Anolis sagrei: one gene and its partners. The protein of the gene in region 4 interacts with the protein of the main gene of each other region in a biochemical or structural test. Links are inferred from orthologs where the notes say so. Each region holds a gene or a part of one and is shown on either strand. Other genes may lie near its edges. The genes, in order: HNF4A, RARA, RXRA and NCOA6.

Region 1 (7,983 bases), about 7.5 Mb from region 4:
ACAGATTTTTACACTTGTACTGTAGGAAGCGTGGCAATAGTGAACAGGCAGATATCCATTTTCATTAGATCTAGTAACAAGTTCTGTCAAAAGAGTGTGGAGGAATGGGTGTGTTGTTTTTGTGATGTGTACTGGGGAAAACATTTAATTTCATTGTACAGTGTACAGTGACAATAAAGATATTCTATTATGTTCTATTCTAAGATCTTTTGAAAGACATTGATGCTCTAGCAAAAGTGCTAGATTCAATTCCAAAGCAAGAAACGTGATCTTAGATCATCCAAAATAAAGCAAAGCACAATAATCAGGTAATATTCAATAAACAAACTATGCAATAGCATTTATTATTCAAAAGGAAAAAGGTAGTGTGCTTATTAAAGAGATACAAGAAAAAAGTACTAAAATTACACATTTACTGTTTGCCTAAATATTAAAACTAAAAGGTTTCCAGAAATTTAGTGAAGTAGCCGTCCTTTCCCAATCAAATATTTTGGAAGACAATTCTTAGAATTGCTGTTTTTGGCCATATTGGCTAAGAATCAATGAAACTGATGTTTGAAACAATTGGAAGATGTTACATTGTGTACATCTGGATTATGGGATATACATTTTTGAGTTAAGTTGAGCTAAGCAGTGTACCATATGCTTCTGAATTACACATAGCCATTTGCTGGCTCATTTGTGACCGGAAGTTAAATAAACATTCTTCAGTCATATTAATTCAAACATTTCTCAAAATGTTTCAGCAATGGAAAAGAGCAACAACACTTGAGGGCAAAAGAAATCTAGGGAGGCAAAACAGTTGCCCGATTGTATTAGCCCATATCTCCCTTCTACAAAACAGTTTCCCCCCAAAATTGGCTAGGGACAATGGTGAGTTTTAGACATATCTAAAGTTTGTGGACATCTACTAAGCTGGTACTAAAAGCATCACTAGGAAATTTTTCTTTACATAAAATTTTCCACGTATATATTTTGAACCATGTTAGCCCAAGGCAAGATAGAATATTCAACTGAAAATCTGATCACTTCAAAATACTGCATCAGCCAATCCACAAAACAGGCAAAGGATATTGAAAACTATATGGGGTGTATCTAAAGGTTTATTCTGTAAACATGAAAAGTCTGCAAACAGTCTCAAAATGGTTACCAGGAGTTCAGAGGGCAATATTTTTAGCTCCACAGCCAGCTATCTACCCTATCAACTCCATAACACAAGAATAATAATCTGGATCTACAGTATAGGGCTGTTAAAAGCATGATTGAACAATGTTTCCTGTGTGATTCCTCAGCCTTACCACCATAAGAAACCAAGTAGCACACTAACACAAATATGCACTTATCACTATTTAGAATTAATAATTAAAAATAATATAGGTGCAAATAATAACTGGTACAGTATACAGGTGCCTGTTGGCATCTGCTGGGGTTTGACTCCAGGACTACCACCACCTTTCCCTATGGATAACAAAATCTGTGCATGTTCAAGTCACATTCTGTACAATGGCATAGGTTTTTTTTTCCGTGACAGGAGTGACTTGAGAAACTGCACATCACTTCTGGTGTGAGAGAATTGGCTGTCTGCAAGGATGTTGTCCAGAGGATGCCCGGATGTTTTGATGTTTTACCATCCTTGTGGGAGGCTTCTCTCATGTCCCCGCATGGGGATCTGGAGCTGACAGAGGGAGCTCATCTGCGCTCTCCCTGGATTCAAACCTCCGACCTGTTGGTCTTCAGTCCTGCCGGCACAAGGGTTTAACCCATTGCACCACTGAGGGCTCCACAATGGCACAGTAAAATGCTGTCGATTATATAAAACAGCAAAATCAAAGTTTGCTGTTGGATTAAAGAAATATGTATTTTCAGGCTGTGGATAGTTTAATCCACAGATGAAGAATCTGTGGATCTAGAGGGCTAACTGTATACAAATTCTCAAAATAGTTTTTTCTTTTATGGCATTACTAGTATAGAGGAGCAAAAATACAAAGTTTGGTAACTTTTACAGACATGACACATACAATGCTCTCAGCACTCTCCAAATGTGACAGACGTATAAACATAAGATGGCATTGTGTGAAATCACTATACAGTGGCACATCTTGTAATACACAGCCTAATCTTATAGATGTTTAACTTGGAATTAAGTCCCACTGTACTCAGGGGATCTTATTCCCAGGACAACAGGCATAAGATTGTAATCACACGTCTTTCCCTTCTTTGATCCTGAAGCAACCGCTACTCTCACTGCAGCCTTCCAGGAGGCAATGTAGCAAAAACATGTCTTTGATACAGGGGAAATACATAATTATAGATACAGAGGAAGTACATAGTTAGCTCCTGTACAATGAGAAAGCTACAGTGGAATATTTCTCAACCCACCTGAATGGCAGTCTTGGGAACAAATTTGTTGTTGTTGTGTGCGTTCAAGTCATTTCTGACTTTTGGTGACCCTAAAGCAAATCTATAATGGGGTTTTTGAAGCTAAGAGTGTGTGGCTTGCCCCAAATCACCCAGTGAGTTTTCAAGTGGAGACTTGCATTTTGTTTTCCACAGTCTAGTGCTCAAGTCACTAAACCACGCTGGCTCAAAGACAGGATATAAATACGATAATCTATCCTCACAATCACTATAGTCACCATCTTCTTCCCAAACCCTCTCAATGGATACAATCACCCATTTCTAAACAGCATTCATTTCCCACATAAGCTCACCATTCATGCTACCTTCTCTGCCTTCCTCAGCCAAGTATGTAGCATGGAAGAAAAAACTGTAATATCCTTGAGCTTTCTATACCGCACCCATCCCTTGACGGTCATCCAGTCACTGCATAGTGAAACGCTGGTCAAACAAAAACTTGCCATATAAAGAGGCAATAGACTCTAGAGTAGTCAAGAAGAACATCCACCACTAGGAAAAAGTGTCTTTGGGTCAAGGAATGAAGGAAACAAATCAAGACAAGTCTCCCCACCCATTCAGTTGCTGCCATTGCTCCTTGTATGTTGATGGCTCTCTAAATTCTGACTACCTCACCACATCAAAACCCAAATTTTCATAGAGATGGGCAAAGCCCTGAGTTGACTTACCATTGCCGATGGCCAGGACTTGCATGTTCTCAAACTCTAGAGTTGTGTATGCTGGGTCTAAAGCTGCGCTATAATCTGCCATCTCCATGTCTATCAGGGCTTTGGAGAGGCGCATTATCATCAGCAAACACTGCCGAGATTGCAGTGAATCTGCGGCCAGAGGTTATTGGCCCCTCCACTTCTCCCAACTGATTTTGCCGGCGTTCCCTATCTGTTGGCCTTTATTTCAAATAATTCTCTGCAAGGATCCGCTGAGCTTCAAGGCCTATTCTACCCAGAGGGGTGGAGGCAGGAGGCAAGGGGGGTTAATCTTTAATCGTCTCACCCACTAGTGCATACTGCTTTGCTGCGTCCTTCTTTCCCTCTTCCTGTCTTTCTCCCCCTTCACTTCCATGTTGTTGACTGTTTATTTTTGGGCTAGTCAGCAGCGCATTGCCGATTTCAGCTCTGGGACAGGTGCAAAAAGTGTGCAATGGGGCAAACAATCTGGACAAAACCTTCCCAGGACATGCTGTACCTAATGCACAGTTGTTGGGACAGAACTATTTCTAGGTAAAGCTGGAGCGACTCAGACAAATTGATCTGCAATATAGAAAAACCCAACACCACATTTCTACCCTTGTTGCCATTTCACTGCTCTTACTCCATCTATTTCTTTTTCACTCTCTTTCTTCTCCCACACCCTGTTGTCTCTCTGTTTAGTGAAGGTCAGTAGCATTGTAATTTACACACTGTCATACATGGGAACAATGTGAGACTTTCATTTTACTTCCCCATAAACCCATGATTTTACAGGCACTGACTTCACTATAAACAACTCACTCTGCAGCATTTACCTAAAACAGATCTTTGAGGGTGAGGCACGCAAATGCAAAACAGGTTAATTGTACATTTGGTGGATACCTTGCTGTACTTACACCTTGCGTGGGCCACACATCCTCTTCCATGTTATTCTACTCTGCTGTGGGGATATGGGCCAAATAATACATGAGGCAAGATATTTAAACCCAAGTTACTCTATCTTTTTTTAAGCTTGTAAGAGTGAGAGACCCAAAGTGGCTCAGGACAGTAGTGCTTGAGAAGAACCATAGAATTAGAATCATAGAGTTGGAAGAGACCACATGGGCCATCTAGTCCAACCCCTTGCCATGCAGTAAAAGTACAATGAAAGCACCCCCAACAGATGCCCATCCAGCCTCTGTTTAAAAGCTTCCAAGGAAGAAGCTTCCACCACACTCCGAGGCAGAGAATTCCACTGCTGAACAGCTCCACTGCTGAAGGTCACTAGCCTGCTCTATAAACCACTTTCCCAATTGAAATGATCTCTGCTTAAATGCAAAAAGCCTTGGTATTTTTGTTCTTCCATGCCATCATATTTTGTCTCATGTCCATAGTGTCAGCATTACAGATTCCTCAAGACACACGCTGGACCTCGGAAATGGTGTAAGAGAAAGGGTTAAAACACTATTTGCGATGTACCAAGGGACTGTTTCTCTCCACCTGAAACATCTTTTCACTCCCCAAATTTCTAGCATTGCACTACTGTCTTCAGTTGAGAATTCAAAAATACAGTTCAGGCATCTAAAGAAAATGACATGGTAGAATTTATTTATTATTTATTTATTTACCATAGTTATATACCGCCCCTCTCAGCCCAGAGGCGACTCGGAGCGGTTCACAATTGGCAACAATTTGATGTCTCAACAATCATAACAAATAAAACAATCATAAAATACTGTTAAAAACATTAGCATACAATATAAAAATATAAAAACCGTACAAAGCCTTAAAACATTACCATGAGCGTCTCCATGTCAAGTCATTATTCGATTGTGTCATCCAGTAATTCCATGCTTTCGTATAACTATGCCATATTTTGGGAAGGCCTGCTCAAAAAGCCAGGTTTTCACCTTTCTTCAAAAAGTCAGGAGGGAGAGGGCCGATCTTATATCTCTAAGTAGGGCATTCCACAGTTGAGGGGCCACCGCTGAGAAGGCCCTGTCTCTCGTCCCCACCAAACGCATCTGCGAGAAAGGCGGGACCGAGAACAGGGCCTCCCCAGAAAATCTTAACATCCTAGATGGTTCATAAGGAGAGATACGTTCGGATAGGTAACTTGGACCGAAACCGTTTAGGGCTTTATAGGCTAAAGCCAGCATTTTGAATTGTGCCCAGAAGCAAACTGGCAGCCAGTGGAGCTGGCGCAACAAACCTCAACGCTCACACATGGATGTACTAAAATATTGTACATGTACAAATAAGCCTTTCCATGTATGTCCACTTTGCATTCTGCAGTATTCATCAGTTTTGTGTGTGAAAAATCATTTTCAACTTTGATGCATGTGCTGACACCATACATGAGAAATATTTAAGGGAGCCATATTGCATTATTCACCGAGATAGCAAATTTTCCCTAGTCCAATGTTGTTTGTATTATTGGAAGTGCCTTTCATTGTCCTATAGTTCAGTGTGTTGATTGTCAAAACAAACAAACAAACAAACATACATACATACATGTTCTGTACCTTCAGCTTCTTTGGCCATTCCAGCTGGGGGCTGATTTCTGCTCTATCTTGATTGCCTCACTTTCCCCAAGGCTGGATCTACACTGCCATATAATCCAGTTTAAGAATACAGTTGAACTGAATTGAACTGGATTATGAGAGTCTCCACAGACATATAATCTAGCTCAATGAAATTAAGCTGCATTCTGAAATTGGATTATATGCCAGTGTAGATTTAGCCCTAATCAAGCCTAAATGATCTTTGCCTACAGAACCAAATCTATTCACATTAACTGTACTTTTATCTGACCTTATTGAGTGGCCTTCTAAGTTCTGATTGCCTTCACAAGATTTGTTTACTCCAAAAATCTTTGCTTTTAGATTGTTGCAATAATTTTAGTTTCCCCACCTAATCCTTGGGGCTATATGGCACTTGTATCTCATGCCACAAAGCAATACACACTTTATAGCTGCAATGTCTATTTTATTACTTTGTGGCACATTAACGGCTGTTTCTTATTACTGGCTTTTCAGCTGATACTATTAAGTGATAAATTTCAGGTAACATGAATTTAATACTATTAACTACTGTGGTATAAGCTTACTATATAAAATCAATTTCCAAAGAAAGACCATGCTTCAAATGTGATAAAGATGGAATATCTTTGGTCTTTGACTTGACTACTATTATACCATGAACCCCTAATGGGGCCGTGGTGGCACAATGGGTTAAACCCTTGTGTTGCTGAACTGCTGACCTAAATGTTGGCAGTTCAGATCCATGCGATGGGGTGAGCTCCTGTCTGTCAGCTCCAGCTCCTGCCAGCCTACCAGTTCAAAAATATGCAAATGTGAGTAGATAAATAGGTACGGCTTTGGCGGGAAAAGGCAAAGAGACGTTTCAAGCAATCTTGCTGGCCACGCAACCAGGAGGTTGTGTGACAAGGTCGGCTTGAAAATGGAGAAAAACACCTCCCTAGAGCCATAGATGAGCACCGCCTCTGGAAGCCGGAAATGAAAGGAGAAGCCTTTGCGTTTGTGTTTGTGTGTCTTCACTGTATATGACTGTAAATGCATTGAATGTTTGCCTATGTATATAAATGCTGTAATCTGCTTTGAGTCCACTAGGAGAGAAAGGCGAAATATAAATAAAGTGTATCATCATCACCATCATTAAGTAAAGGTAAAGGATTCCCCTAACATTAAGTCTAGTATTCAACTCTGGGTGGTGGTGCTCATCTCCATTTCAAAGCCAGAGAGCTGGTATTGTCCGTAGACACCTCCAATGTCATGTGGCCGCATGACTGCATGCTGCACCATTATCTTCCTGCAGAAGCGGTACCTATTGATCTACTCACATTTGCATGTTTTCAAATTGCTAGGTTGGCAGAAGCTGGGCCAACAGCAGGAGCTCACCCCGTTCTCTGGATTTGAACCACAGAACTTTCAGTCAGCAAGTTCAGCAGCTCAGAGGTTTAACCTGCTGTGCCTCCAGGGTCCATCACCATTGTTATTATTGCATTTAACATAAAACAGAACCAGCTTCCATTCCATTACATGTTGGTAGGTATCATTTTGTATATGATTTCTGCTATGCTGTACTTCTCAAACTGATTTAGTTTACAGAACTTTTTCAAATCCCACTGAGGTTAGCTGGAAAACAGGAGCTGATTGATATTTGGTATAAATCCCCGAAATGTAACTACACACAAGTCCTGTAATGCTATTTCTCAGAGTCTCCTTTCATTTCTAGTTCTGTAATGCAATATAGACACAGTGATTTGGGCTAAAGTGAGGTTTTATGACCCCCTGTAAATGCTGTTGTGTAAAAAAATAAAGATTAATATATCAATTATCAATTTATTAACCATATATCAATTTATTATTTAGGAGTGTCAGGTGGACTGCTGCTGAGAAACCAGTAATAATTAATTATTATGACCTGTTACTTTTATAAAGAAAACATGACTATTTCATGGTTTACAGCCTTTATGATCTAAGTCTGTAGATGATGAATTCTAGCCTTTGCTCTAGTTTGTATGAAATGTTTCACTATATATCAGCCACAGAATTAAACTTCCAAGTCCAGCCTCCCAAGAGGTACACATTGTTTCCCCTAACTTCCAAATGCCACACAGAAGCAAAAGTAGCATGTGAAGGAAGCAGTAACTTCAGTAATGGGGCCACCTGCTGTAGTTTACAAGGTCTTCAGCCTTCTCTGTCTCAACAAACTATAAATACCAGGATTCCATAGCATTGACCCATGGTGGTTAAAGTGGTGTCAAACTGCATTAATTCTACAGTGTAGATGCACCCTGGGCTACAGTGGTGTTCTATCTTTTAGATGAAACACAGAAAGCAGACCAGCAAAAAACGAAATTTTGCAGCACAACCAT
Region 2 (7,736 bases), on a different chromosome or scaffold from region 4:
CTTTTGCAAAATAAATTAGTTTCAAGACCAAGAGTTAAATATCCCTCTCTGGAGAGAGAAAAAACCAAACGAAGAAAAATTGGAAAGGGGAAGGGAACACATATAACTCAAATCCAAATCACAGGCTGATTAACAACCCACACGCTCCAGGAAGGGCCTGGGATAGCAATTAGGGAGGGCTTTAGGAAGAACAATAAGGTTTAGTTGGACAAGAAAGAGATATTTGGGGGGGGGGGGGCAGAGGGAATTGCAAAATTTTGCATAGAGAGAAGGGTTGGTTTAATGACCTACATAGGTATGGGAAACTGAAACATTTTCTTTTTTAAATGATCCATGTTGTACATTACAGCATGTTACGCACACAAAGTTCAGAAAGGACCCTCACCCCAAATATGGCCTGTTTCCCCACCACTACCATCCCATTCTCTGCTAGCTCACCCACCCACCCACTCACCCACAGAGAGGCTGTTCGCATATGTATATATAGAAAGATTAAAGGCTTGGTGTACTATTTAGTTAATTGGATTTTGCCGGAGATCTTATCAGAGGCTGGGAACTGAACACCCAGCTGGAAAGGAGGGGAGTTTACTTGGTGCAACTCCTCTCCTCTGTGTTTCCTTCCCCAGATTTGGATCAAATTCATACAAAAATCAATCTATGGAAACATAAACAACTCCTCCCTCCAATGCAAGTCCTCTAATTGTTACCTAGATCAAACTAAACAGACCGTGGGACTGTTTGTCCACCACTGGGGAGTTGGGGGAAGGGACAACATATAAGAGAAAGCAATGGCATACTTGCACTGAGCAGAGACAATATTAGAAGTTTGCACTGTTACAGACCCAGCTGAGAGTATTTTCAATATGGGCCAATGGCAAGGGAGAATTGCTGATAAATAAGGAGGGAGTATCCACCCACATAAACTTGAGCTGGACACCAAAGCATTGTGGAAAAAGTCCTTTCACCTACATATAAAAATATAAGTCACTCTTGTTTGTGGATTTTGCTATTTGGCACCATTCCCTTCACCGACCACTCGAAACACAACCAACAGAATTGGAAATATTCCTTAATACTAACAGATTAAAAGGGAATCCAAAGGTAAAAATTCTCATAGAGAATCTGAAAGCATTTGGGAGGAAGGGGAAAGGAAAGCCATGTGTCTCAACAGGGCATGGTTCTCTCCAAAGCAAAAATAAGAAAAGGACCCAACATGCAGCGCGCACCCCAATACGCATACAACCACAATACAAAAGCACCATTTTATAGCCCCAGCTCTCGATCCCAACCCTCCAATGCAAATCACAACAGGGTAGGCTTTGGGTCTCCCTAAACCAAAGATGACAGATCCCATCCTGCCAACCTCCACCCCACTCAATTACAGGGCAGCTCCTAATCTTTCTTAATAAGGTCACCTCAAAAGCTGGCAAGAGGGGAGAGAGGGCAACGAGGGTGTCACCCCAGCTGGGCCGGGCCCAGGAGGGGGATCGCATTATACGTACAGTGATTGGAACTGTTCCAATGCTGGTTACGGACAGGGGTGCTGTAAGGGTTAGGGTTTCCGGGTCCTTTGTCCTGGATCAAGCAGGCACGGTTCTGGTTGTAAAAATCCATCATGAAGAAGGGGTTAGGACTGTTGCTTAAACCAGCTACATCCACACTTTCGTACATCTTCTCCAGGCAGAACAAGAGGATAAGAAGGTTGGGGGCTTGTGGAGGGTGGAGGGGGATGGGAAGGAGGGAATCAAAGCAAAAGTTTGGTTTCTGAAGGATCGGAGAGCAGAATCCTATACTGGCGACGACGACGAATCCCAAAGAGACAAGGGGGAGGCTTTTTGTCGGTTGTTTTCTGTTTCCTGATCCTTCTCCCCCTCTCCGCCGCCTCTTGATCCCTAGCGGGGAAGTATTTAGGGAATCCAAACGCGGCTGGGGAATCCGCCAAACAGGCCGGGTTGGCCACCAGTGTCTTTGCTTCGAGTTAAAACACACAAAAAAACAAAACAAAAACAAAACCCAAAAGATAATATTCAAGTCTTCAATCTTCTATTCCAGACGCGTCCCTTGGGAAATAGGCCGGCCAATCCAAGCTGAGATGCTGTTTCCCGTTTCGAGACAAAATGTATTTATAAATCCCAAAAAAAGAAAAGAAAAGAAAAAGAAGAGGAATGTTTTACTTTGAGAAAAAAATAATAATAACAAAATCCACTCCGCCTTCCCAAAAACCAGAAGGAGACTCACTGGTGTTAGATAGCATTTTGGTCACATTTCCGCCTCCTGTTCAGTCCCATGGTTCTCTCTCCTTCTCCCAAACTAACAAGAGGAAAGAAAGGAAAGGGAGGGGAAGGAATATCCTTTCGCTTCAGTTTTAAAAAAAGGGGGGAGAAAAAGTTTCACACACACTCATACAAAAAAAAAAGAAGAAGTAAGGCTTCCTGGTAGAAATAAAAGAGCTTTTTCCTGTCCAGCAGATGACTGAATGTAATGCACCGAAAACTGTGCTCATGGGTTATGTACACACATATCTTAAAATTGCATCTCTGTCCCCTGCCAGAGAAAGAGAGGGAGGGAAAGGCGGAGGGGAGGGGAGGAGAGAAAGAGAAGAGATGAATGGTACAAATGTGTTGTCAGGTTTTGAATGCTTGAGAAGATGCCAAGGCCTGGAACCCCCCCTGAATCTCCTTGGTTGCAGATTTCTTTTGGTCCTTCCTTCCTTCTCTCCCTGGGAAAGAGAGGGAAAGAGAGAATGTGTGGGTGCGTGCACGCCTCTGTGTGTGTGTGTGATGTACAGGACTGATAGATTAAAGGCAGCACAAAATCTTTCCTGACACGAAAAGTCGGCTCTGGACTGGCTTAACTCTTTCCTTACCTGCCACGTGCTGTGTCTTGCGCAGCCCCAACCAACTGCAGGGAAGCACAGGATGGGGGAGGAGGAAGAGGAGGAGGAGAGAAAGAGAGAGGAATGAATGAATGAAAGAAAGAAAAGGGGAGGAGGGACGGAGGAAGGGGGGGAAAAATGACAGCCATGGAAAAAAATGCCTCTCCAACAGCTGTCTCCAGCTACAAAGCTGCAGCGCCTGCATCTTCCTCGGGTGCTTTCCCCATCGCTGGAGCGGAGCAGCAGTGGCGGCTTCCTCGGCGAGGAGGACAAGCAGGAGGGCCCCCTCTTTTTTGTATGGCAAGGAACCGGCCCGGGCGGCCCCTTTCTTCGCCTGCATCACCCCTCTCAGAAAGGGAGGTCTCTGCTGCTCCTCTAGCCGCCCCTCATTTGCGTAATGTTATGCAGCTGAACTCCGCCTGAACTCTCCTTGCAAAAAAGCTTCACCTCCAAATGACCCACTCACAGGCCTTCTCCTTCCCTGTGACATCACAGGGGCGCCCTCCTCCTCCTCCTCTTTGCCTGCCAAGGGCTGCCACCGGCATGCCGCTGCTGCTGCTTCGGCCAAACATCACCACACGGTCGAATCCAGACCCACCAGCCAAGGGAGATACCTGGTTATAGGGACCATGGTGCAGAGGCCAGTAAGGAAAGAGGGAGACAAAACCTGCTTAGATATGTTTATAACAAAAAAAAGTGGGATGTAGCCGGGCAACTGACATCTGTACACACGTAGACACACACCTCTGTCTAAGGATGGGGATTTGGATCCAAGATGAGTCAATGTACCTACAAACTCACTAAGGCCGAGTAAGCCGCACCGAGTCCCTCCGGGGAGAGACGGTGGGTTATAAAGATTATTTATTTCTGGTATTTCTACCCTCGTCTCTTCTCTAACCACGAAGGGAGGACTCAGGACGGTATACATTTAGTAAGACACATACCTCTGTCTAAGGATGAGGATTTTGATCCAAGATGAGTCAATGTACCTACAAGCTCACTAAGGCCGAGGTTTTACTAAGGCCGAGTAAGCCGCACCGAGACCCTCTGGGGAGAGACGGTGGGGTATAAATAAATTTATTTATTTCTGGTATTTCTACCCCGTCTCTTCTCTAACCCCGAAGGGGGGACTCAGGATGGCTTACATTTAGTAAGACATACACCTCCGTCTAAGGATGGGGATTTGGATCCAAGATGAGTCGATGTACCTACAAGCTCACTAAGGCCGAGGTTTTACTAAGGCCGAGTAAGCCGCACCGCGTCCCTCCGGGGAGAGACGGTGGGGTATAAATAAATTTATTTATTTCTGGTATTTCTACCCAGTCTCTTCTCTAACCCCGAAGGGGGGGACTCAGGACGGTTTACATTTAGTAAGACACACACCTCTGTCTAAGAATGGGGATTTGGATCCAAGTATGCTGGGGAAAGTGGAACGCAAATGGAAGAGGGGCCGACCAAGGGCAAGATGGATGGATGGCATCCTTGAAGTGACTGGACTGACCTTGAAGGAGCTGGGGGTGGTGACGGCCGACAGGGAGCTCTGGCATGGACTGGTCCATGAGGTCACGAAGAGTCGGAGACGACTGAACGAATGAACAACAAATTTATTTATTTATGGTATTTCTACCCCATCTCTTCTCTAACCCCGAAGGGGGGACTCAGGACGGCTTACATTTAGTAAGACACACATCTCTGTCTAAGGATGGGGATTTGGATCCAAGATGAGTCAATGTATCTACAAACTCACTATGGCTGAGGTTTTACTAAGGCCAAGTAAGCCGCACCGAGTCCCTCTGGGGAGAGACGGTGAGGTATAAATAAATTTATTTATTTCTGGTATTTCTTCCCCGTCTCTTCTCTAACCCCAAAGGGAGGACTCAGGACGGCTTACATTTAGTAAGACACACACCTCTGTCTAAGGATGGGGATTTGGATCCAAGATGAGTCAATGTACCTACAAGATCACTAAGGTCGAGGTTTTACTAAGGCCGAGTAAGCCGCACCGAGTCCCTCCGGGGAGAGACGGTGGGGTATAAATTTATTTATTTCTGGTATTTCTACCCCGTCTCTTCTCCAACCCCAAAGGGGGGACTCAGGACGGCTTACATTTAGTAAGACACACACCTCTGTCTAAGGATGGGGATTTGGATACAAGATGAGTCAATGTATCTACAAGCTCACTAACGCCGAGTAAGCCACACCAAGTCCCTCCGGGGAGAGACTGTGGGGTATAAATAAAGATTATTTATTTAGTTATTTCTGGTATTTCTACCCCGTCTCTTCTCTAATCCCGAAGGAGGACTCAGGACGGCTTACATTTAGTAATGATACAATGTCGCTATATAACAATTACAATAATATAACCAAAATTAAATACATACGCAATCATTAAAACCAGTACATACAACATTAATTAAAACAGTAGAGCAATATGATAGTATCAATTCCAGTCAATGTCCAACTAAAGTGCTCATTATGTCTGCTGCCCAAAAACCTGTCCACAAAACCATGATTTTAATTTTTTCCTGAAAGCCAGGAGGGATGGAGTCGATCTTCTATCGTTTTGGGAATACGTTCCATAGGCGGGGAGCCACCGCCGAGAAGGCCCTGTCTCTCATTCCTGCCAAATGCATTTGCGAAGTAGACGGAAGCGAGAGCAGGGCCTCCCCGGATGATCTTAGGTTACAGGATGGGACGTAGGGGCTCAATACAGGATGCATCCGGTGGCATAGTGGGTTAAAACTCTAAGCTGCTGAACTTGCTGACTGAAAGGTCGGCGGCTCAAATCTGGAGAGCAGGATGAGCACTCGCTGTTAGCCCCAGTTTCTGCCAACCTACCAGTTTAGAAGCATGCAAATGTGAGTAGATCAATAGGTAGCGCTTCAGTGGGAAGGTAATGGCGCTCCATGCAGTTATGCCAGCCACATAGCCTTGGAGGCATCTACAGACATTTCTAAGCTCTTCAGCTTAGAAATTGAGATGAGCACCCCACCACCACCACCACCCCCCGCAGAGTTGGACACAACTAGACTTAATATGAAGGAAAAATCTTTATTTTTTTATTGATATAAATGGATTATATCCCAATATGATAAAGACACACCTACATATCGTGACTCAGTTTGGAAAGCCCTGCACTAAGGGCTGGAGAAATTAGACAGGAAACACACGTTTTTTGATCCATGAAATCTTCTCAACATCAAAACTGGATCAAAGCATAGGTACGCCATCAAGCAAAAGAAGAAATGCAGAAGCAACTGACTCAATGCCTTTTCAGTTAATCTAGACTCCACATTTGCGAGTTTGACTTTTGTAGATATGATTCAAATGTTCTCTCTAGGAATCCCGAGATCCTCCAGGGAATGATTCTATGGTCAGCTTCCAACAGAAATTGACCACAGAGTTATGCTGGAGAACCTTGAAATTCCTAGAGAGGTGTTCTCTCAGTTTTAAAAATAGTATTTTTTTATTCACGGGTTTTTTTCATGGGATCCTGTGCCCTTACTGCCAGTGAATGTGGACAGCTGACTGTAGCAGGTTGGTCCATTTGTCTATCTAGATCACTCATGCTTTCCTTAATAGACAATGGCATTTCAGGGTTACAGAAAGGGTCACATGAAGTCCTATCTGGAGATGCCAAGGACTGAACACTGGCTCTTCTGCAGGCACAGAATGGATCCTGAAAGCTATAGGCCTCTTCTATCAGGAACATGGACCAAAAATATTGTGTGACAACAATGAGTGAGAACTGAACTATGTCTATTTTGCTAAGGTTGGCAGTTTGAATCCACGAGACGGGGTGAGCTCCTGTCTGTCAGCCCCAGCTTCCCACGCTTGGACATGAGAGAAGCCTCCCACAGGATGGTAACACATCTAGGTGTCCCTTGGGCAACATCCTTGCAGAAGGCCAATTCTCTCACACCAGAAGTGACTTGCAGTATATTCTCAAGTTGCTTCTGACACGATTAAAAAAAACTATTTTGTACAAGGATCGAATTTAATACTGTAGTCAGTATCCCAAGGTTCTCTGATGTCACACCCGTCCCATTTTTAGAAGCATAAATGAAAGAAAACAATTATATTTACTCCACAAACTTGGTAAAACAAATTGTGAAAGTACGTGGAATGGTTGGTAAAGGCAGAACGGGGCCTGTGTGAAACACGAAGAGACAGGAGATGTGTTTCATGCATCCTTTTGCTCCTCTCTCATGACTAGCCAAACCAAAAGAAATTAGACAAAGTAAGAAATTAAAATCATGTGTTTTATTTAAACCCTTTATAAATAGGGCCGCTTTTGAATTCATGGTGGAGAGTGCCCCACCGCTGTGTAACAATTGGCACAGATTCTGCAGGAACGTTCTGCAAACAGAACACGTCAGTGATATAGTCTTCACAGATAATTCTTACAACAACAGCAAAAGAAAGCATGTTAGCTTTGCATTCCAGGATCATGACTGAACCCTAGAAACAAGAGATGTTTGGACAGAAGGGGAAGGGCTTATGGAATTATAAATGAATTAAATGCCTTTACTCTGCATGCCATTTCATTCTTCTCTTTACTTTACTCTTGGGCTTCTATGGGCTTATTCGCCTATTTGAAAATACCCCAAATGTCACAAAATACATGCTTCCTTCCCTCACTATACACAAGGTTGCGATGCCTTTCCCATTTCAGCTACATAATTCAGACCACACAAAGTGGGACTAATAAGAATCAAGGATAGTCAAGTGCAACATCAAATGCAACATAGATGCAGATGATTTATGCAAAGCCATGTGCTCTGGACAATACTTTCACATTCAACTCCTCAATTTCAGCCATTCTGCTCCAGAAATCAATTCCTTCCCATTGTTATGTATT
Region 3 (7,930 bases), on a different chromosome or scaffold from region 4:
GGAAAATGTCACAACAGATTAAGAAGGCAACAAGTCTGATACAAAAGGCATCACAGCATTTCGGTGTCACGCAACACACTTTGCAGAGCTCTTAAAGGTACAAGAGACCCCCTTTATGATAATTTTGGTTGTCAGTTGTACTATTTTTGTATGCATTTTTCTCAGGAACTGAACAACTGTGGAATTTTGGGATTTGTAGTCCCCCTTCCAACCCTTTATTTGGAATCTATACATTTTCCACACTCCAAACTCCAGCATTTCTATGTTCTTCAATACCAGCTGTTAGGAATTATGGGAGTTGAAGTCCAATATGCCCGGAGGGCCGAAGTTTGCCCAGGCCTGCACTACAGCATAGATCCACTAAATCTGGTTGCTGCAGAATTCTGGGGCTTGTAGTTTAGAGGAGGAGCCTTTCATATGCTCAGCCAGATAGGTCCTGAGCTTCACTAAACTACAAACCCAAGAGTTCGGCAGGGGGTCGGGACACCTGGGGGGGGGGGGGGTTGTGAGGGGGTTTCATAGGGGTCGCCAAAGACCATCAGAAAACACATTTCTGATGGTCTTGGGAATCCCTTTGGCATTGTCATTTGGATTTACAGTGCTCTTTGGATGTAGGTGAACTACATCTCCCCTAAATCACTGTCAATCAATCCCAAATCACTCCAGAATTTTCTGTTGGTCATGGGGGTCTCATGTGTGGGAAGTTTGGCCCAATTCTATCATTGGTGGGGTTCAGAATACTCTTTGATTATAAGTGAATGGCAAATCCCAACTACAACTCCCAAATGTCAAGGTCTATTTTGCCCAAGCTCCACCAGTGTTCACATTTGGGCATATTGAGTATCCATGCCAAGTTTGGTCCGGATCTATCATTGTTTTGAGTCCACAGTGCTCTCTGGATGTAGGTGAGCTACAACTCCAAAACTCAAGGTCAATGCCCATCAAACCCATCCAGTAGGTGAACGATAAATCCCAATAACTACAACTCCCAAATGTCAAGGTCTATTTTTCCCAAGCTCCACCAGTGTTCACATTTGGGCATATTGAGTATTTGTGCCAAGTTTCGTCTGGATCCATCATTGTTTGAGTGCACAGCGCTCTCTGAATGTAGGTGAGCTACAACTCCAAAACTCAAGGTCAATGCCCATCAAACCCATCCAGTAGGTGAACGATAAATCCCAATAACTACAACTCCCAAATGACAAGGTCTATTTTCTCCAAACTCTACCAGTGTTCACATTTGGGCATATTGAGTATTTGTGCCAAGTTTCGTCTGGATCCATCATTGTTTGAGTGCACAGCGCTCTCTGAATGTAGGTGAGCTACAACTCCAAAACTCAAGGTCAATGCCCATCAAACCCATCCAGTAGGTGAACGATAAATCCCAATAACTACAACTCCCAAATGACAAGGTCTATTTTCTCCAAACTCTACCAGTGTTCACATTTGGGCATATTGAGTATTTGTGCCAAGTTTCGTCTGGATCCATCATTGTTTGAGTGCACAGCGCTCTCTGGATGTAGGTGAGCTACAACTCCAAAACTCAAGGTCAATGCCCACCAAACCCATCCAGTAGATGAACGATAAATCCCAACAACTACAACTCCCAAATGTCAAGGTCTATTTCCCCCCCAAATTCCACCAATGTTCACATCTGGGCATATTGAGTATTTGTGACAAGTTTTGTCTGGATCCATCATTGTTTGAGTCCACAGTGCTCTCTGGATGTAGGTGAACTACAACTCCCAAACTCAAGGTCAATGTCCACCAAACCATTCCAGTATTTTCTGTTGTTCATGGGAGTTCTGTGTGCCAATTCCATCGCTAGTAGAGTTCAGAATGGTCTTTGATTATAGGTGAATTATAAATCCCAGCAACTACAACTCCCAAATGTCAAGGTCTATTTTCCCCAAACTCCAAGGTGTGAATGTGTGGGCAAGGGAGAGTGTGTGAGGATGGAGGGAGGCTCATGCCAGTGAGTCCCTTCAAGATATGGGGATTCTGTGTGGGAAGTTTGGGTTCTATCCCAATTCCATCGTTGGTGGGGTTCAGAATGCTCTTTGATTGTAGGTGAACTATAAATCCCAGCAACTTCAACTCCTAAATGTCAAGGTCTATTTTCCCAAAACTCCACCAGTGTTCACATTTGGACATATTGAGTATCCATGCCAAGTTTGGTCCGGATCTATCATTGTTTTGAGTCCACAGTGCTCTCTGGATGTAGGTGAACTACAACTCCAAAACTCAAGGTCAATGTCCACCAAACCCTTCCAGTATTTTCTGTTGGTCATGGGAGTTCTGTGTGTCAAGTTTGGTTGAATTCCATCATTGGTGGAGTTCAGAATGCTCTTTGATTGTAGGTGAACTATAAATCCCAGCAACTACAACTCCCAAATGACAAAATCATTATCACCCCTCGCCGAACCCCATCAGTATTCAAATTTGGGCATATCAGGTATTTCTGTCAAAATTGGTCCAATGAATGAAAATACATTCTGCATATCAGATATTTACATGGTTGGGGGTCACCACAACATGAGGAACTGTATTAAGGGGTCACGGCATTAGGAAGGTTGAGAACCACTGCCCTATGAGGAGCGGCTTAAAGAGGAAGCAGCCAAGCCTTGAAACTGCAGGTCCATTCAAAATCTGGCTACCAGTATTAATTAAAACACTCTAAAATCAGGACAGCAAGTAAAGAACAACACTCAAAAAGCAGGGGAACAATCAGGCTCAACTCCCAACAAAGGATTCCTGCAGGCAGCAACCAGCCAAGCCTTGAAGCTGCGAGTCCATTCAAAATCTGGCTACCAGTATTAATTAAAACACTCTAAAATCAGGACAGTAAGTAAAGAACAACACTAAAAAGCAGGGGAATTGCAGACAAGAAAATATCTGGTACATCTAATACCTCCCAACAAAGGATTCCCCCAGGCAGGAAGCAGCCAAGCCTTGAAACTGCAAGTCCATTCAAAATCCGGCTACCAGTATTAATTAAAACACTCTAAAATCAGGACAGTAAGTAAAGACACTCAAAAAGCAGGGGAATTCCAGAAAAGAAACAATCAGAATCACCTCCCAACAAAGGATTCCCGCAGGCAGCAACCAGCCAAGCCTTGAAGCTGCAAGTCCATTCAAAATCTGGCTACCAGTATTAAAACACTCTAAAATCAGGACAGTAAGTAAAGAACAACACTCAAAACATGGGAATTCCAGACAGGAATCAATCAGGGCCATATAATGCCTCCCAACAAAGGATTCCCCCAGGCTGGGAGCGGCCAAGCCTTGAAACTGCAAGTCCATTCAAAATCTGGCTACCAGTATTAAAACACTCTAAAGTCAGGACAGTAAGTAAAGAACAACACTCAAAAATCAGGTGAATTCCAGACAAAAAACAATCAGGCTCAACTCCCAACAAAGGATTCCCCCAGGCAGGAAGTGGTCAAGCCTTGAAGCTGCTAAGCTTTTCAATGCAAATCAAGGTGGTCAATTGCAGCATTTCCACTTGCTTCCAAGAGACAGAGTGGACATCATTCCCCAGATATAGAAACCCAATTTCCCTAGTTTCCAACAGACTTCACAACCTCTGAGGGTGCCTGCCATAGATGTGGGCGAAACGTCAGGAGAGAGTGCTTCTGGAATATTTCCAGACATTGTATTGCCGAAGGCTTTCATGGCCGGAATCACTGGGTTGTTGTAGGTTTTTTCCGGGCTATATGGCCATGTTCTAGAGCAGTGTTTCTCAACCTTCCTAATGCCGCGACCCCTTAATACAGTTCCTCATGCTGTGGTGACCCCCAACCCTAAAATTATTTTCGTTGCTACTTCATAACTGGCATTTTGCTACTGTTATGAATCGTCATGTAAATATCTGATAAGCAGGATGTATTTTCAATCTCTGGACATTGGGAGTTATAGTTGCTGGGATTTATAGTTCACCTACAATCAAAGAGCATTCTGATCTCCACCAGAGATAGAATTGACCTAAACTTGGCACACAGAACGCCCATGACTAGCACAAAATAATGAAAGGGTTAGATGAGCATTGGCCTTGAGTTTGGGAGTTGTAGTTCATCTATCTCCAGCAAGCACTGTGGACTCAAACAATGATAGATCTGGACTGAACTTGGCGCAAATACTCAATATGCCCAAATGTGGACACTGGTGGAGTTTGGAGATAATAGACCTTGACATTTGGGAGTTGTAGTTGCTGGGATTTATAGTTCACCTACAATCAGAGAGCATTCTGAACCTTACCAATGATAGAATTGGGCCAAACTTCCCACACAGAACTCCCATGACCAGCAGAAAATACTGTGTATCCTGATGGAGTTTGGCGACCCCTCTGACACCCCGTCGCGACTCCCCCAGGGGTCCCGACCCCCAGGTTGAGAACCACTGTTCTAGAGGCATTTTCTCCTGACGTTTCGCCTGCATCTATGGCAAGCATCCTTAGAGGTAGTGAGTTTTTTCAGACAGCCTGGAAAACTCACAGCAACCCAATGATTCCAGCCTTCGACAAGAGTTGGCAAAGGCTGGCGAGAGAGGCGACAGTTCCCAGCATTCCTCTTTTTTTTGGTGTGGGGGAGTTTTGGGATTGATAGTCCTGGCCACGACTTAGAGGGATGCCCAAGGTCTAACTTGGGTTTTGTTTGGTGTCCTTCCCTTTTGGCGAGGTTCTTTAAGTCCCCCCCAAAGCGCCTCAATGGCGTCGTCCCTCGCGTTTCCCCCTTCGTGAGTCGGGTCCCCCTTGGAGTTTCTTTTCTTTGGAGACACGCAAGCCACGCGAGCGCGCGCGCGCAGGCGCTCGTGCCCGCGCCCACCCACGAGAGCGCGAGCCCAAGTACTTTTTTCCCTGGGTATTTTTTTCCTTCTTCTTCTTCTTTCTCCCTCTTTTGAGTTCCCTTCTTCTCTGGACGAGTTTTTGGAGAGGCGCAAAAGGGGAGAAAAACAAGGAAAGTCGGCCTTCTTTTCCTTCTTTTCCTTGGACTTTTGTATTATTCCGGATTTTTGTCTTGTTATATTTTAGAGAGAGGGGGAGGGCTTGCTCTGCTCCTAAAAGGCGGACCGAGAGGAGAACCAGAGACCCTCCCCCTTTCCCAAAAAGAACACAACAACAAAACAAGAAACCTCTCCAAAATCCATCTGGCAATGAGTTAAAAAAAAAGCGGCGCAAAGAAGGAGATGGACACCAAACATTTCCTCCCTTTGGGTGAGTTTTTGGGGGGCTCTTCCTCCCCCGATTTTTCCTATATCCTTTAGGGGAAAAAGTGGGGAATCAAGGGGGGAAAAAGAGAGAGAAAAAGGGGGAGGATTGGAGGAGGAAGAGGAGCACCCCAAACAACAACAACGTCAAGGCGAGATGCGTAAAAAGCCGTGCGTAAAAGCGCACGCGTTTGGGGGGCTTGCAAAAAAGCCCCTTTTCCAAGTAAAGCTTTTGGGGAACCCTCCCCCAAAGGGTCCAGTTAGACAAAAGAGGGTCTCAGGATGGTCCCCATATAGGTTATATGCGTCTATGTCTTTCTATAATGGGGGAGTGTCCCTTCTTTCTCGCCATGCCCAATGCAGAGAGAGCAGTTGCTTTCTCCACTCTGGCTCGGCTTGTGGCAATGGAGCCAGGCAGGCCTTGGAAAGGAAGGGGAAAGGGAGCCTTTGGGGGTGTGTGGTTGCGGCTGTCGTTGTGTTCTCGGCCCTCGGTGGTTGCCTCTTGGGTTGACACGGCTTTGGGGGAGTCCCAACTGGCTGCCTCGGCTCAAAGAGTGTTTTGGGGGAGCTCGAAGTTCAGTCGGACGGGAAGCGAGGAAAAGGGTTTGCGCTTTGGAGAGAAGTGGCCCAGAGAGAGAAAGAGAGAGAGAGTGTGTGTGTGTGGACTGGGTAAACTGCACTAGGATCTGGGCCCTTCCTTCCTTCTTTCCTCCTTTCCTTCCTTCTTTCCTTCCTTCCTTCTTTTCTTCCTCCTTCCCTCTCTCCCTGCCTTCTTTCGTCCCTCCCTTTCACTTTATTTCTTTTTCTTTCTTCCCTTCTCTCACTCTCCTTCCTTCCTTCTTTCCTTCTTTTCTTACTCCCCTCCCTCCCTGCCTTCTTTCCTTCCTTCCTTCTTTCGTCCCTCCCTTTCACTTTATTTCTTTTTCTTTCTTCCCTTCTCTCACTCTCCTTCCTGCCTTCCTTCCTTCCTTTTTTCCTTCCATCTTTCTTCCTGCCTTCTTTCCTCCCTCCCTTCTTGCCTTCCTTTCTTCTTTCTTTCCTTACTTCTTTCCTTCCTTCCTTCTTTCCTTCCTTTCTTCTATCATCCCTCCCTTCTTTCTTTCCTTCCTTCTTGCCTTCATTTGTTCCTTGTTTCCTTCCTCCCTTTCACTTTATTTCTTTTTCTTTCTTCCATTCTCTCTCCTTCCTTCCTTCTTTCCTTCCTTTTTCCTTCCATCTTCCTTCCTTCCTTCCTTCTTTTCTCCCTTCCTTCTTTCTTTCTTTCCTTCCTTCCTCCTTGCCTTCATTTCTTCCTTGTTTCCTCCCTCCATTTCACTTTAATTCTTTTTCATTCTTCCCTTCTCCTTCCTTCCTTCCTTCCTTCCTTCCTTCCTTCCTTCCTTCTTTCTTTCTCCCTCCCTTATTTCATTCCTCCATTCCTTTCACTTTATTATTTTTCTTTTTTTCCTTCTCTCACCTTCCTTCTTTCCTTCCTTCCTTTCTCTCTTCTTTCCCCTTCCTCCCTTATCTCTCTTCTTCCACCCTCCTTTCACTCTTCCATTCTATTCCTCTTTCTTCTATTTCTTTCTCTCTCTCCTTCCACCACTCCTTTAACTTGTATTTTTCTATTTATTTATTTTCTTCCTTCTTCACTTCCTTCTTTCTCTCCTTCCCCTTCCTCTCTCCCCCTCCCTTTTCTATTTCTTTCTTCCCTTTTCTCTCACTGTCCTCCCTCCTTTCCTCTCTTTTTCCTCCCCTTTTCTTTCATTCTTTCATTCTTTCTTTCTCTCTCCCCTTCTCCTTCCTTCATTCCCCTCCCTTTCGGTCCCCCTTCCCCTCTCTTTTCTATTTCTTTCTTCCCTTCTCTCTCTTTCCTCTTTCTTTCTTTCTTTCTTTCTTTCTTTCTTTCTGTCTTCCCTTCTCCTTCCTTCCTTCCTTCCTTCCTTCCTTCCTCTCTCTCTTTCTCTCTCTCTCTCTCTCTCACCTTCCTTCCTCTCTTCCCCATCCCCTATTTTTTCTATTTCTTTCTTCCTCTCTCTCTTTCCTTCCTTCCATCCCCTCACTTTTTTCTATTTCTTTCTTTTCTGCTTCCTCTTTCCTCCCCTCTTTGGACCCTTCCACACCACCTTATAACCCAGAATATCAAGGCCGATGATAATCCACAATATCTGCTTTGAACTGGATTATCTGAGTCCACACTGCCATATCATCCAGCTCAATGTGGATCTTATACAGCTGTGTGAAAGGGGTCTCACGTTCTTCCTTTCTTCCCTACCCCTTCCTTCCTTCCTTCCTTCCTTCCTTCCTTCCTTCCTTCCTGGGTTTTATTTTAAGATTTACTTTTGTATGCTTTGAATTGTATAGTTTCCAAAGGTTGTGAGCTGATTTGGGTGTTGTGCCTTGAGTTAAAAGCAAGGTAATAATAGTAATAATAATAATAATAATAATAATAATAATAATAGTAATAGCAATAATATAATAATAGTAATAATATAATAATAATATAGTAATATAATAATAATAATATAGTAATATAATAATAATAATAATGGTAATAATAGCAGCAACAACAATTCCTCCCTCCTTCTACTTTCTTTTTCCCTCCTACTTTCTTCTTCTCTTCTCGTCTTCCCTCCCTCTTTCTTTCTTTCTTTCCTTCTCTCTCTCTTTCTCTTTCCCTCTCTTTCTGACTTCCTTTCCTCCAGTTTTTGGAAGTTGGCATTGGGCGGAGAGTCTCCGAAGGAGG
Region 4 (8,057 bases):
TGGGGCTGGCAGCAGAAGGTCACGCCGCTTCCCAGATTCAAACCTGCGACCTTTCGGTCAACAAGCTCAGCAGCTCAGCGTTTTAACCCACTGCACCACCAGGGGCTCGTATAATCCATGTAAGCTTCATTAAAATATATTCATTCTTTGTATATTTTTTTTCAAAAAATTGTAACCTTACTTTCCAGATATCCCTTGTATGTACATATAGAAACACACACATACATAGGCTTACACTTCCTTTAGGAAGTGTTGGGCAACTTTTTTTTTTTAAAAAAACTTTATTTATATCCACCACCATCTCCCAAAAGGGACTCAGGGCAGCTTACAAAAGCATGTATTAGGCCAGGTTTCATAAACACAGATGTGTAAACATAGATAGTGTCTGCGCTTTCTTTGGAAGGTGTTCAGTGGCTTTAGGCCAGAGACCATATATAAAATACATACATACATACATACAATATATACATACATATATGTACACATAGAAAAAACCCACACCCATACAGGCTTGTGTTTCTTTTGGGAAGTGTTAGGTGACTTTAGACAAGATTTCATATATATAAATACATACACATAGATATGTAAACATAGATAATGCCAGTGCTTATTTTGGAAGGTGTTCAGTGGCTTTAAGTGAGACACCATATTTAAAAATACATACATTCATATATATACACATAGAAACACACACACACTGAGGCTTGCACTTCCTTTGGGAAGTGTTTGGTGACTTTAGGCCAGATTTTATACACACACACACACACACACACACACACGTGTAAACTAAGACTCCTTCCACACAGCTGAATAAAATCCCACATAATCTGCTTTGAACTGGAATACATGGCAGTGTGGACTCAGATAACCCAGTTCAAAGCAGATATTGTTGGATTTTCTGCCTTGATATTCTGGATGATACGGCTGTGCAGAAGGGCCCATAGATCGTATCTGTGCTTCTTTTGGAAGGTGTTCAGTGGCTTTGGGCCAGACACCATATATAAAAATACACACATATATGTAAACATTGATACACAGATAAACACAAACACATCTATATGTCTGCCTTCCTTTGGAAAGTTTTGGGTTCCTTTAGGCCAGCTGCCATATAGACATACATACATACATACATACATACATATAAACACACACACATATATGTCTGTGCTTCCTTTGGAAAATGTTGGGTGTGTTTAAGCCACTTCTCTCTCTCACACACACACACACACATTTATATATGCTTCCCTATATATAAACACAAATATATATGTGCCTTGTGTTTCCTTTAGAAGGAGTTGGGTGTCTTTAGGCCAGACTTCACACATATACGTTCATATATCTACACGGCTTTAGGCCAGTCTCCCTATATATAAACACAAACATATATATGCCTTGTGTTTCCTTTGGAAGGTGTTGGGTGTTTTTAGACCAGACTTCACACATATACATTCACACATCTACACCTTCCTTTGGGTGGTTTTAGGCCAGTCTCCCTATACATAAACACAAACACATATATGTCTTGTGTTTCCTTTGGAAGGTGTTGGGTGTCTTTAGGTCTGACTTTAGACATATACATTCATATATCTACACCTTCCTTTGGGTGGCTTTAGGCCAGACTCCCTATACATAAACACAAACATATATGTGCCTTGTGTTTCCTTTGGAAGGAGTTGGGTGTCTTTAGGCCAGACTTCACACATATACATTCATATATCTACACGGCTTTAGGCCAGTCTCCCTATATATAAACACAAACATATATATGCCTTGTGTTTCCTTTGGAAGGTGTTGGGTGTTTTTAGACCAGACTTCACACATATACATTCATACATCTACACGGCTTTAGGCCAGTCTCCCTATATATAAACACAAACATATATATGCCTTGTGTTTCCTTTGGAAGGTGTTGGGTGTTTTTAGACCAGACTTCACACATATACATTCACACATCTACACCTTCCTTTGGGTGGTTTTAGGCCAGTCTCCCTATACATAAACACAAACACATATATGTCTTGTGTTTCCTTTGGAAGGTGTTGGGTGTCTTTAGGTCTGACTTTAGACATATACATTCATATATCTACACCTTCCTTTGGGTGGCTTTAGGCCAGACTCCCTATACATAAACACAAACATATATGTGCCTTGTATTTCCTTTGGAAGGTGTTGGGTGTTTTTAGGCCTGACTTCACACATATACATTCATATATCTACACCTTCCTTTGGATGGCTGTATGTCACTCTCCCTATATATACATAAATATATATGTGTTTCCTTTGGAAGGTGTTGGGTGTCTTTAGGCCTGACTTTAGACATATACATTCATGTGTCTACACCTTCCTTTGGGTGGCTTTAGGCCAGTCCCCCTATATATAAACATATATTGTGCTTCCTTTGGAAGGTGTTGTGTGTGGCTTTAGGTCAAAAACCTAACATACACGTAGGTTAACACAGATACACGTATGATCCATGTATGTCTGTGTTTCCTTTGGAGGGGGTGTTGCGTAGCTGTAGGCCAGGCTCCGTGTATTTAATACATACATCCACGTCCACACTGCATGCACACCGGTTCCCAAGAGTGGCAGCCCCACTCGCCTCTTGCCTCCCTCCCTGCCTCGCTGGAGCCAAACCCGCCTCCTTCCCCCGCCTCGGGGGTCTCTCCAGGGCTGGGGCTCGGCCTGGGCCTTCTTCCCGGCGACCCCGAGCAGGCCTCAGCGTCGGCCGCCGCCCGTCCTCCTCCTCCTCCTCCATGGCTGTCAGAGGAGAAGCAGCAGCAGCAGAGAGAGAGAGAGAGAGAGGGCCTTGCGTGGCCAGAGAGAGACCCCTTCCTCTCTCTATTACGCCTCACGACTGAGGGAACTCACCTCCCTACTAGGCCCCGCCTCATTTGCACAAATACATACAGAAAGAGAGAGAGAGAAGGGAGGGGGGGAGATACCCCACGCGAGGGACTCCCTCGCCTCACCTGAGGGCGCCGCCGCCGCCGCGCCTCACAGCGCCGGGTCCAAGGCCACTCCGCTTCCTCCGTTTTCTGCTGGGCGCCCGAGGCGAAAAAGGGGCAGGAGGAGCCGAGAGGCGGAACGGAGGGAGGAGGAGGAGGAGGTCAGCCCGAGTCCGAAACTCCGGGGCGCCACAGACCCCCTCCAACCCGGCCGCGGCTCCGCCTCCGGGAGGGAGGGGCGTGGCGGATCACGTGACCCCCCCGCTCGGATGCGCGCGCCTCGCTGGCTGCGCGCGCGCCTCCTCCTGCTTTCTTTTTCCTTTTCTCTTTTTTACTGACTGGGGAGAGAGGCGCGCGCGCCCGCTCGCAGGAGTTAGAGCGCGCGCGCGTGCGTGCGTGCTGCTACTGCTGCTGCTGCGCTCGCGCTCCCAGCCCTATTTTTTTTCCTCCTCTTCCTCCTCCAGAGCAAACCCCCTCCCGTCAACTTCTGCTTTTTTTCTCTTTCTCTCCAAAACACAGGGTGAGCAAACCCAGTCTAGGACTCCACCCCCCCCCCCCTTTCAGTTTGAATTAAAGGGCCAACGACCCCTTCCACACAGATGAATAAAAACTTCACGTTTTCCGCTTTGAACTGGAATATATAGCAACATGGATTTAGGACCCTTCCACACAGCCCTATAACCCAGTATATTAAGGCAGAAATCCCACAATATCCGCTTTGAACTGGGTTATCTGAGTCCACACTGTGATATATTCCAGTTCAAAGCAGATCATATAATCACAGAGTTGGAAGAGACCTCATGGGCCATCCAGTCCAACCCCCTGCCAAGAAGCAGGAATATTGCATTCAAATCACCCGACAGATGGCCATCCAGCCTCTGTTTAATGTGGGATTTTTTTTCAACTGTGTGAAAGGGGCCTCAGATAACCCAGGGCCCTTCCTCACAGCCCTATAATCCAGAATATCAAGGCAGTAAATCCCACAATATCTGTTTTGAACAGGGTTATCTGCTTTGAACTGGGTTATCTGAGTCCACACTGTGATATATTCCAGTTCAAAGCAGATCAAGCTACAAGGCGTAGAGCTTTTTCGATCTATGCTCCAATTCTGTGGAACTCATTGCCTCCATATATTAGAGCAATGTCGGAGTTGTGACCTTTTGCAAAGGCACTCAAGACTTGGCTGTTTGGTTGTGCATTTAAGTAATCGGATCAAATTTTGCCATAGTCACTGCTGAATGTTTTTATGTTGAATGTTTTATATTTAATGTTTTATATTGTGTATAAGCTATTTTAAATTGTAAGTCGCTCGGAGCACTTTGGTGGAGAGCGACTAATTAAGAAATAAAGTGATGATGATGATGATCATGATGATCATGTGGGATTTTGTTCAGTTGTGTGAAAGTAGCCTCAGATAACCCAGGGCCCTTCCTCATAGCCCTATAATCCAGAATATCAAGGCAGAAAATCCCACAATATCTGCTTTGAACTGGGTTATCTGGGTCCACACTGTGATATATTCCAGTTCAAAGCAGATCATGTGGGATTTTGTTCAGTTGTGTGAAAGGAACCTCAGATAACCCAGGGCCCTTCCTCACAGCCCTGTAATCCAGAATATCAAGGCAGAAAATACCACAATATCTGTTTTGAGCAGGGTTATCTGCTTTGAACTGGGTTATCTGAGTCCACACTGTGATATATTCCAGTTCTAAGCAGATAATGTGGGATTTTGTTCAGCTGTGTGAAAGGGGCCTCAGATAACCCAGTGACATACTCATGGGTTTAGTTGGTTAGTTTCAAGATAACATCCATAACAATATGAAAGCATAAAACTATTCAAGAGACATTTTGTGAATACGTACTATAAAAAGAAAACTGTTTTTATTTCAGCCTTTTTGTTATTGGTGTTATTGGGAAAATGCATGAATACATTACATTTATTTTCTGTACAATCAGACTCATGGATGTGATTACAATGCATTTAATGTTATTTATTTTAAATAAAGTGATGCTGTACTGTAAACATGACATACAGTAGCTACATTTGTATTTATGAATTGTCTGTTTTTCAATGTTTACAACATTTTTTAAAAAAAGAAAAAAAACTCCTCTTGCAATTTATCTTCTGATAGAAATAAACAATTGGTTTCCAGCCGCAAAATAAGTTTATGTGGTGGTCCATTCCAGATATTATAATAATTATCTAGATTAACTGAGATTTTGCTTTTTACAATCCAGACATTATTCAACCAAACACTTCATAAGACAATTTGCTGAAACAGTAGGAACACACAAACTGGAACAATCTGCATTTAAACTGTAGGCCTAAGAACTGGAGTAGCCTATTATTTGGTGTCCTGCCATAGCTGGTCAACTAAAGTTCCTATTTAATAGAGGGACTAAGGTGGAAACTTGAAGAGAAGTTCCTATGGGACTGACATTTTAAACTACAGATGAGATGCCCTATTGTTTAGCTAATTTCAGATTCATTATTATGTCTTGTAACTCCAACCATGGGCATGCATTTAATGGACGATGAAAAAAACCATCCTAACTGTCTTTCACCAGTCTAAATCTGAATGCATGTAGGCTTTCCAAACTCCTGATTTAGGCTGTATCACACTTGCTAGGGAGTTGTCCCATTAAATTCAGTGCCAAAAATTATACTTTTACCATATTTTCTGGTGTATAAGACGACTGGGCATGTAAGACAACCCCCAACTTTTACAGTTAAAATATAGAGTTTGGAATATACACGCTGTATAAGACTACCCCTCTTCCAACACACTGCATTTTTTAAAAAAAATATCAGATTTGATTGCAATATGGTAATTTTCCTATTACTGTACTGCCTTCTCTATCTCTCAGATCTCACACATGTGTGCCTGCGCCGCTTCCCTGCAGTCCTCAGGAGCGAGATCTGAGAGCCAGAGAAGGAGGTATGGTAATAGGATACAAGGGCGGGCCAGACGGGTAAAAAAAGGTGTGTTTTTCTGGGCACAGCACCACTCTATATCTTTTTTCCATACCCCGGATGTCCTGGATGTCTGCAGCTTGCTCCGCCCTTCACTTATACCTTCCTGGTGAGGCGCCCCCTCACCTTGTCATCAGAACCGCATTAAGTCACTTCTTTCCACAAATCCTGGTGAGTGGATTTTCTTCTACCTTACTTGCACAGCGCTGCCCTTGCTGCTTGCATATGGCGGGGATGCGGCCACGGCCATTTTTGAGCTTCCCTCACCATATGTGGCAACCACAGATTCTCCAGTCTGGCTCGGAAGTTCCAGCACCCACCCTATAAGAAGACACCTGGCATATAAGATGACACCTGACTTTTGAGAAGATTTTCCTGGTTTAAAAAGTAGTCTTACACATCAGAAAATACAGTAATTAGTGCTATGTTGTATAACCAAAATCATATAGACTATGTTTTTGGTTTTGAAGGGAAAATACAATTGCATCCGAATTTGTTAAATACATTAAATAACTTCTTTCTCCAAGAATTGGTGCATCAACTTTTTAGTATACTTTCAGCTCCATCTTGTCTTGTCCTTTCTTTTCTTTTTCCTTCCTTCCTTCCTTCCTTCCTTCCTTCCTTCCTTCCTTCCTTCCTTCCTTCCTTCCTCACTCCTTCCCTACCTCCCTTCCTCCGTTTTTTAAGAAGCCATATATTTAGCTGTTAAAATATAACACAGAATGAAATAAACTTAAAGACATGAAGTTGAAACATAGCTATTTGGGACAAAAGGGACACACTCCAGTTTACAGCACAATGGAGAACTAAATGTTAAACTTCATGCTATAAAGGTACAACACGCAACCAAATTTACTTCCCCTCCCCCCGCCCCCAAAACCTAAAGTAAGCATACTAGGATGTCTGTATGCAAGCAGCTTTCCCTCCCACACTTTTTTTTTTTGCTAAATTAACACTACCCACACGCATGAGGGCTAAAAATGAGGAAAGGACTTCCTCAGACTCCAATGGAGTAGTTGTTAAAACCGCCAAATAATGACGTGAGTTAGTGGGAGAGAGGATCCAGTAGGATAGTGAAGGGACCTCACCGTGCACAGGTAAAGCACGCCTTATGCTTGCTTCAGAATAAAAAGAAATTAATGTTTAGCTGGTGCCCTTAAAATAGATGTGCAGCCTGACCCTTCCTTTACTACTTCATCTAAAAAGCGCCATTCCATCTTTCATGATTATGCTGTGTTGAGTGTGATGGAAGGAACTGACTCTGGGAATTAGATTTTCTATATACATACAGTCAGCACATGCCTAACATGTAGTTTGTTTGATGTTAGTGGTGCTGTACAAACATTCAAAATCTTGTGTAGGCCATTAGCTATTTACAATATAACAAGTGAATGAGCCCTTAAACAATGAATGATTGTAAACTACATTGAGGTCATTGACTGACTTAAAATTTGGATGTAAAACAAGATCAATGATGGCATCTGCAATACATTAATACACTGACACCTCTTGTTCTATAAGACAACACTTTAGACACATTTGACCTTCTGAGGTTCTGACTTCAACTCACAGAAGAGCCAACCAGTTCTGGACAGAGATATGGGAGTTGCAATCCAAAGAGCCATGGTACTGGAACTGAAGGTAATGGAACTGAAGACAGGTATTTCTAATTCTTTGATTTAGATAGTGTAGAATTAATTGCCTTTTTGTCTTTGGAATACAAGGAGGGAGACCTTGCACTTGCATAAGCTATGCATGTTCAACTAAAGATATATATAGAGCTGTAGTTTCTATGGCTTTGTCAGCACAGTCATGGCTCCAGCAAATAGCAACATCTCCAATCACATAGATGGAAAATTCATTCATACAAGGTATAAAGAAGTGGTTTGTCACTCTACTCCTTGGAGCCACTACACATCATTGAGAGAGTTTCTATTACTCTACTTTCCTGTATTCAGTAGATGTATGATTTTCATAGGAAGAGAATTGTCTGCAAGTGCCCATCATCATCTGCAGGGAGAACTCAGAGCATCCTGAAATGTGTAAAAACATCTGCCTGGAAGGATTGTGGAGCAATTTCCCATGTCTGTATGAGAATTAACTTCTAAAAAACGTACATCTTGTTTAATACGTTTCCA

Evidence for each region.
Region 1: the proteins of NCOA6 (region 4) and HNF4A form a complex in vitro, tested with the Homo sapiens proteins (2 studies listed by BioGRID). The link is inferred for Anolis sagrei from reciprocal best matches to the Homo sapiens genes NCOA6 and HNF4A.
Region 2: the proteins of NCOA6 (region 4) and RARA form a complex in vitro, tested with the Homo sapiens proteins (3 studies listed by BioGRID). The link is inferred for Anolis sagrei from reciprocal best matches to the Homo sapiens genes NCOA6 and RARA.
Region 3: the proteins of NCOA6 (region 4) and RXRA form a complex in vitro, tested with the Homo sapiens proteins (5 studies listed by BioGRID). The link is inferred for Anolis sagrei from reciprocal best matches to the Homo sapiens genes NCOA6 and RXRA.

What each region holds. Positions count from the first base shown.
Region 1 is NC_090024.1:218,454,332-218,462,314, forward strand, and holds the start of HNF4A (hepatocyte nuclear factor 4-alpha), read right to left. Parts: upstream 3,371-7,983; 5' UTR 3,205-3,370; coding exon 3,084-3,204; intron 1-3,083. UniProt on the Homo sapiens protein: Transcriptional regulator which controls the expression of hepatic genes during the transition of endodermal cells to hepatic progenitor cells, facilitating the recruitment of RNA pol II to the promoters of target genes. Activates the transcription of CYP2C38.
Region 2 is NC_090026.1:39,867,524-39,875,259, forward strand, and holds the start of RARA (retinoic acid receptor alpha), read right to left. Parts: upstream 3,356-7,736; 5' UTR 3,216-3,355; coding exon 2,867-3,215; intron 2,861-2,866; exon of another isoform or gene 1,672-2,860; coding exon of another isoform or gene 1,503-1,671; intron 1-1,502. UniProt on the Homo sapiens protein: Receptor for retinoic acid. Retinoic acid receptors bind as heterodimers to their target response elements in response to their ligands, all-trans or 9-cis retinoic acid, and regulate gene expression in various biological processes.
Region 3 is NC_090031.1:5,343,218-5,351,147, reverse strand, and holds the start of RXRA (retinoic acid receptor RXR-alpha), read left to right. Parts: upstream 1-4,784; 5' UTR 4,785-5,184; coding exon 5,185-5,212; intron 5,213-7,930. UniProt on the Homo sapiens protein: Receptor for retinoic acid that acts as a transcription factor.
Region 4 is NC_090024.1:210,932,410-210,940,466, forward strand, and holds the start of NCOA6 (nuclear receptor coactivator 6), read right to left. Parts: upstream 3,192-8,057; 5' UTR 2,970-3,191; intron 1-2,969. UniProt on the Homo sapiens protein: Nuclear receptor coactivator that directly binds nuclear receptors and stimulates the transcriptional activities in a hormone-dependent fashion. Coactivates expression in an agonist- and AF2-dependent manner.